Linked DNA regions of Sus scrofa. The protein of the gene in region 1 interacts with the protein of each later gene in a biochemical or structural test. Links are inferred from orthologs where the notes say so. Each region holds a gene or a part of one and is shown on either strand. Other genes may lie near its edges.

The links.
Region 2: the proteins of DAB1 (region 1) and LRP8 form a complex in vitro, tested with the Homo sapiens proteins (2 studies listed by BioGRID). The link is inferred for Sus scrofa from reciprocal best matches to the Homo sapiens genes DAB1 and LRP8.

The regions. Positions count from the first base shown.
Region 1 is NC_010448.4:155,083,259-155,087,459, reverse strand, and holds the start of DAB1 (disabled homolog 1), read right to left. Parts: upstream 2,886-4,201; coding exon 2,819-2,885; intron 1-2,818. UniProt on the Homo sapiens protein: Signaling adapter of the reelin-mediated signaling pathway, which regulates the migration and differentiation of postmitotic neurons during brain development.
Region 2 is NC_010448.4:158,978,585-158,982,892, reverse strand, and holds the end of LRP8 (low-density lipoprotein receptor-related protein 8 precursor), read right to left. Parts: intron 3,420-4,308; coding exon 3,243-3,419; coding exon of another isoform or gene 3,030-3,242; exon of another isoform or gene 1,494-3,029; intron 551-1,493; coding exon 512-550; downstream 1-511. UniProt on the Homo sapiens protein: Cell surface receptor for Reelin (RELN) and apolipoprotein E (apoE)-containing ligands. LRP8 participates in transmitting the extracellular Reelin signal to intracellular signaling processes, by binding to DAB1 on its cytoplasmic tail.

The DNA of each region.
Region 1 (4,201 bases):
ATATCTTTAAAGATGCCCTTGAGTAAGAGAAAACAATGTGATGATTCTGATGAAGAGGAGGAGGAGGGAGGGAAATAGAGGAAAAATAGGAAAAAGAAAGGAGAGGAGGGAAAGATGGAGAAAGATGCCAAAATAGGAGATGATGAGAAGTAAGGAGAAAAGGAGGAGGGGAAAGGAAAGGGGGAGAGGAAGAGGAGGAACACAGATAAAGCTTTGTTGAGGTTTTTTCTTTTTCTTTTTTTTTTCTTTCTTTTTTTTTTTTTTTTGCTTTTTAGGGCCACACCCATGGCATATGGAGGTTCCCAGGCTAGGGATCAAATCGGAGCTGTAGCTGCCAGCCTACACCACAGCCACAGCAATGCTGGATCCAAGCTGCGTCTGCCACCTACACCACAGCTCACAGCAACACTGCATCCTTAACCCACTGAGCGAGTCCAGGGATAGAACCCCGACCTCATGGTTCCTAGTCGGGTTCATTGACCACTGAGCCACACGAGAACTCCTTGTTGAGTTTTTAATATATGCCAAGTTCTATACTAAGTTGTATTTGCCTTTTTTCAATTAATCATCCGAGTGAGCCTTTGAACTTTATAATATCATTTCCTCATTTTATAGGAAAGGAAACAAGCTCAGAGTGGTGAAGTAAAATTCTAAGGTCACCATACTTAGGAAGTGACATAGACAGAATTTGAACCCAGGTCTGGCTGTCTAGACTCCATGGTATTACCCACTCATTTGAGGACACTCCTTACATAGATATTGTGCTGATATTAGAGCTACTAAGAATGTGGAGATGAGGAAGAGTTTAAAAGGTCACCTTCATAGCCCCATTCCAAATCCTCAACCAAGTCAATGTTCCGAAAACCTGAATCCTCTATTTAAAATGTTTCTGGTTTTGCATGCTAAATTTAAGAAGGAAAAGATATGCACTAAGTACAATTTTCGATGCATTAAGCATTCAAGAGCACAAGTTTAGTGGAAAGATTAACTTTGAAGCAAGAATATAACTTGTCAGTTTCCAGTGAAAATGCATTTGAATTCCAGTACATACTGGGCTCTGCAATCTTTTTTTTTTTTAATTTTTTTCCCACGTAGCATTTCTCCCAAGACCTAGTCTATCACCCACTTGCTTTCCTTCTATTATTCTTAGACCATGATGCATAAAAAACAAGGTTTACATTAGGTTATAGGGATAAAATAGACTGCTTCGAAAATATTTGTGTTTCAAATAAACATCTGAAGCAAAATTTATAGTCCTTTCTGGGGTTCCGACTGCCCAAGAGCTGCATATGTATTACATTTATGTCCCTTTCTTCCTATGGAGTGTCAGACAGATGCCATCAGGAAACACGACTGGGCACGCACAGCAATGTCTCAAACAAATCACAGCCTCTACAAAGCAACCAATGGCATCCAGTTTTCAGGCCCAGACTGACAGATTTCATGACCTGGAAGAGAGCTCTATTAATTCTATCCCACACATTTTTTGAAGGGGAGGGAAACAGCTGAAACTGCAGGGAGAAAACACACAACACCACACATGTGCACACGCACGTGCACACACACACACACACAGAGTAAGAAGTTGCTTATCTCTAGTTATAAGGGGATAAACTTAAAGAAAGACATAGTCATAAAGCCATAGGACCAAATTCTCCAAAACCCACGAATACTGATACAATTACTTAATTATCACACCATGCATGCCAGTCTTCATTACTAAACACCTATGTGCCTCCTCTGTGTCAAGCACGTTCTTTCCTTTTTTTTTTTTTTATTTTATTTTTTTTATTTTATAGCCACACCTGCAGCATATGAAAGCTGCCAAGGGTCAAATCGGAGCTGCAGCTGCTGGCCTACACCACAGCCACTGCACCACCAGATCCGGGCCACATCTGTAACCTACACTGCATCCTTAACCCAATGAGCAAGGCTAAGGATCAAACATGCATCCTCACAAGACAGCGTCCAGTTCTTAACCCACTGAGCCACTAGAGGAACTCCCATGTGTCAAGCACTTTCTAATTGATGGGAGTTAAAAGGGTCAACAAGAGATCCAGCTCTCAAGGACTATATAGTATGGCTAACAAACACAAAGACGACATTATTAATAAAGTTAGCTACCAACAAAGTGCTAACGAAACAAAACAAACAAAGAGAAACTAATCCCATTTGGGGTTAAGGAAAGGCCTGGCCCTCCAGGAAGTCCTACTAAGCTCAAAACTAAAGAATAGGCAGAAGTCAGTCTAGGAAATAGCAGAGAGCCACAGACGGATTGAGAGTCCAGTGGTTCTCAAAGTCTGGACTCTGAACCACCAGCATCAGCATCATCTGGGAATGTGTTGTAGATGAAACTTGGGCCCTACCACAGACCCAGAGAACCCAAATTTCTGGGAATGAGACTCAGCAATCTCTGTTTTAACAAGCCTTCCAGGTGATGCTGGTGCAGGTAGAGTTTGAGAATCACTGGTATATGCAAAGAGGAACTACAAAGCACAGAATGCCCGGCGGGTGAACAGGGTTAGATGGAGATGGGGCGTGAATGCAGACACAGATGTTGCTTGGGGGGGGGATGAGTAGAAGACATGTCAAGAAGGGCTTTGTATATGCTGAAAAGAACTTTGGATTTTACCAAGAGAATTAGGAAGGACCTTTAAAATACGATACTGTGCATACAAAAAACACCCAATAATGGTGCTATTAAAACAAACAAACATAAGCAATCACAAAGATAGTCCCCCAAATGCCATTCCAGGGACCAAAAAACCTCATTCCTACACAAGAGTAGATATTAGGATAGGAACAGCTTGAGCCCTACCTTTCTTTCTGGAGTCTTTCTTGGCGCTGGTTTTCACAGCTACTTGAAGTTCTGTCTCAGTTGACATCCTACTAAATCCTTAGTCCACTTCACACAGATCCTGGGCCTCGGCCAGGCTCATTGAGGCCTCTTCTCCAAGAAAACGAGTCCTCCCTTCAGAAATGACACCGACAGCTGCACATTTCATTCAGTTCTTCCGAGCGCTGCAAATCAAGGGAAGAGAACGTTCAGAATAACCACTCGGTTAAAGGTATAGATTAGGGAGGGAAAAACATTAAGAGGGTCCATTGCCAAAGAGGATGAGAGGTCTTATTTGCAAAACTCAAACTAGGTGACACAAAGCAGGTCTTTAAAACTCTGGATTTTCAAGAAAAGCAAAACTCCACTCTTGATGTTCCATGTTTCTTACTGTCAAGTGCTAGATGCCACCCAGAAAATACAGCACGGGCATATTTCCTGAGAGGCCCCATGGAGACATTTCCAACAGCGAGGCACCCATCCATCAGCCAAGGCTGACCAGAGCCTTGGCAGCTAAAGCAGATCATAGCGAAGTGACCTGTGGTCGTTCCCTCACTGGCAGGCATCCGAGGGGACATGGCGTTGACATACAATTGGGCTCTGAGGGTAAGGTGACAAATGGGGCTGAGAAACTTCGCAGCAAGCCAATTTTGATGTCAGCTTTTCCCCCAGCTATAAGAGCAGACAAGCATTTAATGCGGGGAGGAAAAGAAAAGAAGCAGGCAGACACACATTTCATTCCTTCTATGATAAATATGCATTGCACACTACTAGGTACTATTAAGTTCAGACACTATGCTGGGAAGAGATAATCATGATAATACCACCACTTCAATTACAGCCAGTATTTACTATACATTGACTATATATGATGCCCTCAGCTCCTGCTTCACATACATTATCTCATTTGATTTCATTTAAATTGAATGAATGTAGTCCCAGTGTCAAGTCAAGGATCTTTTCCCAGGGACGGACTCTCTGATGGTTTACATGTAAGAGTCCGGCTGAAAATAAACATTTCAGGAGTTATCCATTTTTAAAGAATATTAAGATAAAGCTACTGAAAATGGATCTTCAAACCTGTGCAGCCAATTCTTAGTTCATCCCACAGATCCAGGAAACTGTTTAATCTGAAAAGGCTGATGCCAGTTTCAGCTCAAAAAGAATAATGATCAAAACCTCTTAATCGTGCCATTAAAGATAGCTTAACTACGAAGTCTAATACGAGAGCCACTTAAAGCTGGAGTAAGGGAGTTCCCGTTGTGGCTCAGTGGTAACAAACTCAACTAGTACCCATAAGGATGCAAGTTCAATCCCTGGCCTCACTCAGTGGCTAGGTTAAGAATCCAGCATCGCTGTGAGCTG
Region 2 (4,308 bases), about 3.9 Mb from region 1:
GGGAGAGGGAGTTGAAATGTTTTTTCTTTTTTCTTTCTTTTTTTTTTGATGGATAGCCACAAAGCATAATCATTCTATTTACAAAAAACCAAAACTCCGAAACCTAAAAAGCGCCCCCCCCAAACCAAATACCCTCTGTCAATATAATTTTTAAATGAGTGAGCTACTGTACCATCGGTCCCATTTGGTTATGTCATCATGTTAGTTCCTCAGCAGTAGCTATTCCATGAATTCCTCATGGGTAGTGCAACCAGTTAAAAAGTGTATAAAACATTATACATATAAAAACTCTCACATCCTTTGGATGTTTGCAGTTCATCATAACTTTGTGGTTACCTTTCCGCAACATAAATTTAAAAAAAAAATCACACACACACACACACACACACACACACACACACACACACACACACAGACTCATGTACAGGGACCCTTCCATCCAGGCATACACCGTCCCGAGGGTAGTGCATGGGACTGATTTCCGGGAGGCACGAAGGGAGTGGTCCCATCCTCAGGGCAGTCCATCATCTTCAAGGCTTAATGCCACTCGCTGGGGGAGACAGAGCAAAGAAGTCATCATTAGACTATGGCGTTCTCAGAAGGTACCAGAGATTCTACTGCTTTACAGGCATTAGCTCACATCCTCTTTACCTCAAAGGACAGGTTTGTCACATTTATTTCACAGATGAGAAAGCTGAGACTCAAGAAGCTTCAACAGCATTTGTCCTGGATCACACCGCAAGCGGGTGAACTTGGTTTGAACCCAGATTTGCGTGAATCCAGAGCTGCAGCTTTTTTCATCATCTTGTTCTGTCTGCCTCTATATAAAGAGGACGGCTGCAGAGATCGCATCTTCCTTCATCCTCCCTTTCAGGATTGTAGGTTTGCTCAACTTCAGTGGGTTAACTTTGGCGAATGTGGAATCCCAGGCCATAGCTACCTGTCTCCAGCACGCGAATCACAATCAGGAAAGTCATCGGCTGGACCCCCTCCCAACTCATTATGCAGAATTGGAAGGCAATGGAGGTCAATGAAGTTCCACCCCGCTTTCCTTCGCCCCCTACTTTCCAGACTGTAGCTACTAGACTTCCCTCTGCCACAAATGGCTCACCACTAGATGGTGATCCCACAACCCCTGAGCCAGTCTATTTGTTTGGACAGTGGACTTAAGGTCTTTCCTATATATCGGAGTTCCCATTGTGGCGTAGTGGAAACGAATTCGACTAGGAACCATGAGGTTGCGGGTTCGATCCCTGGCCTTGCTCGACAGATTAAGGATCCAGCATTGCCCTGAGCTGTGGTGCAGGTCGCAGACCCAGCTCGGATCTGGTGTTGCTGTGACTGTGGTGTAGGATGGCAGCTACAGCTCCTTTTCGATGCCTCGCCTGGGAACCTCCATATGCCACGGGTGCGGCCCTAAGAAGACAAAAGACAAAAAAAAATTCTTTCCTATATTGACATGAAATGTTCTTTATAGCTTTTTTTTTGGGGGGGTGTATTTATGGCATACAGAATTTCCCAGGCCAGAGATCAAACCAGTGCCACTGCAGTAACCAAAGCCACAGCAGTGACAATGCCAGGTCCTTAACCCACTGAGCCACCAGGGAACTCCCACTTTATATCTTCTGATGTTCCCTGATTCCACGTCTTAGATTCAGAGAGTTCTACACAGACAACTTTGAATTTTTTAGTGTTTGAGTTTCCTTCCCTTGCTTCTGAGTATTTTCTTCTCCAGGTTAACACATCTAGCTTTCTCCAGCTGGTCCTAATGCAATCCTGCTCCTCCATTTCCTGGATACCCCCCTTTGGAGGGACCCCACTGTTTCCAGATCTTTCTCATAGCTACATGAATCTGGGCTAAGCACTTCACCTCTCTGAGCCTCGGTTTCATCATCTGTTCAATGGGAATAATAACAGGACCTACCTCATGGGGTTGTTGGGAAGTCAAATGAGATCAGGTATGTAGAGAGCTTAATATGACACCTCCCACATATGGGGTCCAGAGTATTCTACATCAACCTAACTGGCATAAAATAGAACCAGACTAGCACCTTCCATCGCTGGTCATTCTGCAAATAATCAAAAGTAACCCCACTGCCTTTCAAATCATCTTTGGATTCGGGATTTCGCATCAGTGTCATGGCCTTGCTCCACTAGCACAGACACTTGAGACTACCTTCTTAAGAGTTTAGTTACCCTCCCACTCTCCCCAGGACAGATCTCTAGGCCAAAGGCAGGTCCCAGCAGTGACGGTGGAGCTACCTGAGAAGGGGAGAGGGGACAGAAGAGCTTGTTGAGAATACTGACCTCCAAAGCTTCAAGGCTGTATACCCCCAGATACAGCGGAAAGAGCATGGGCTTTTGTGTACACACAGACAGGAATTAGAATCCTGCTTCTACCCCTTCCTAGTTGTGATCCTAGGCACATGATTCAATTTCTCTGAGTCTCAGTGTCCTCATCTGCAAAATGGGGCTAATCATATCAACTGTATAGGTTCCTGTAAAGACTAAACAAGAAAATGTCCATAAAACACAGAGCAGCGTCTGATACGCAGTAGGTTCTTACTAAACACCGGCTTCCTCCCTCTCCTGCTCTATTTCTCTGCAGCTGGCGGAGTCTGTTCCTCAGGCCTTGGATTTATCAGGAATGGCTCCTCACAAGTGTTGTTCCCTTCTCTGGAACAATCACACTGTACCCGTGCAGAGGGCGTTATAGCTCACGTGTGCCATCTCTCTTGAACTTCAGAAATGGAGGCGGCAGAGAGAATAATGGGGGTTATTTTTCCCATTTGGCAAATAAAAGTGAGCAGAGAGAAGGGACTAGATCACAGGGCTGTGGAAGAGTGAACCCAGGAGTCCTCTCCTTATTCCAAGCTCGACATGCCTTCCACTGCCCTCTCGGATCTGGAAAAAATGGGCTCCGCCGGTTTGCTTGGTGGGCCGAGGGTCAGGAGCCTCAAGGCCGACGGCTAACCCTGCTCACTCACCCAACCTCATTCCCCACGTCTCCCCTTGACCAGCAGTGAGCATCAGCGGCAGCGGTCTGCCCTGCCCCATCCTCCGTTGATTCTTCCACATGCCATCTCCTCGGGCAGCAACGAACCCATCCTTCCTCTTTGCCCCGACACCCGGCTCACAATCTGCAGCCTTCCAGAAGCAGAAAGCCTTCTAGGATGGGCTGCAGCTGCCTGGTTCACGCCCTCACTCATCAGCCCCTCGGACTCCGAGTGGCACTGCCCTACCTTGCACTTGACGACAGGCAGCTCGGAAAGAGAGTTCTTCGGGAGTTGGTGCGGCTGTGACCTTGGTTCTCCCGGCAAGACAAAAAGCTCCTTGAGGGCAGGGGCTGGGTCTTCCAGTTCTCTGGTCTCCCCAAGACAGGGCTCTGCCCACAGTGGGTGATCAAAGCTGCTGATTGCCTGACAGGGGGATGGACTGGATGACCTATGAGGTCACACACAGCCCCGACTCTGCTGCACAACCATGACATCTGTTTCAGCCACTCTGTGGTCCTTGCACCCCCAACAGGCCCTGCCCCGTCGTGCCTCTCAGCCTTTGCACGCGCTTCTTTCTGAAATGCCATCTGGCTCCTCCTCCATGTGGAAACTGCTAGCTTTCTCCAGCTGGCCCTAATGTAATCCCAATGTCATTTAATCTTTCAGTCTGTCACCTGTCACCTCCTCTGGATGGCACTCCTGCCTGATTTCCCAAACAGACTTAACAGCTCCCTTACTGATGGGTCCATAGCCTTTGTTCAACCAGTAGTTACTGGGAGCTGGCTCTGTGGTGCCAGGCACCAGGGAAACAGATCAGTCAGACAGTCCTGCCCTCAAGGAGCTCACGGTCTAGTGGGGAGACCAATGAATAAAAAGACAAGTGGCCTACAGTGTGACAGGTGCTGTGACACAGAGAGGTGGGGGCAGAACAAAGAAGCCAGCACCAGCTTTCTAGAAGTAGGGCCTCCTGAGCTTCCACCAGGGCACTTAGCACCCAGCTGTGCAATAGCAAGTGACTCGAACTCCCCCACCAGCTCCTTGGGCACAAGTACATCCCTTCTTTACTTTTGAATGCTTGGTATCTAAGGTGGTACTTGGCACATGCCTGGCATACAGTGTTTACTGAAATGGATCCATGAGAATTGAATGGCCACAGTTACCTTTCTAGGCCAAAGGTTCTGGAAACTTACTCAGCACAAAGACAGACATGTGGCTTCTCTACTCCAGGGAGAACCTCCAGGTACAACTCCCGTGGTCCTGATACCCTTCTACCCCAACCCCCTGCCCCCGCATCTCTGTCCCCAGGGCCTAG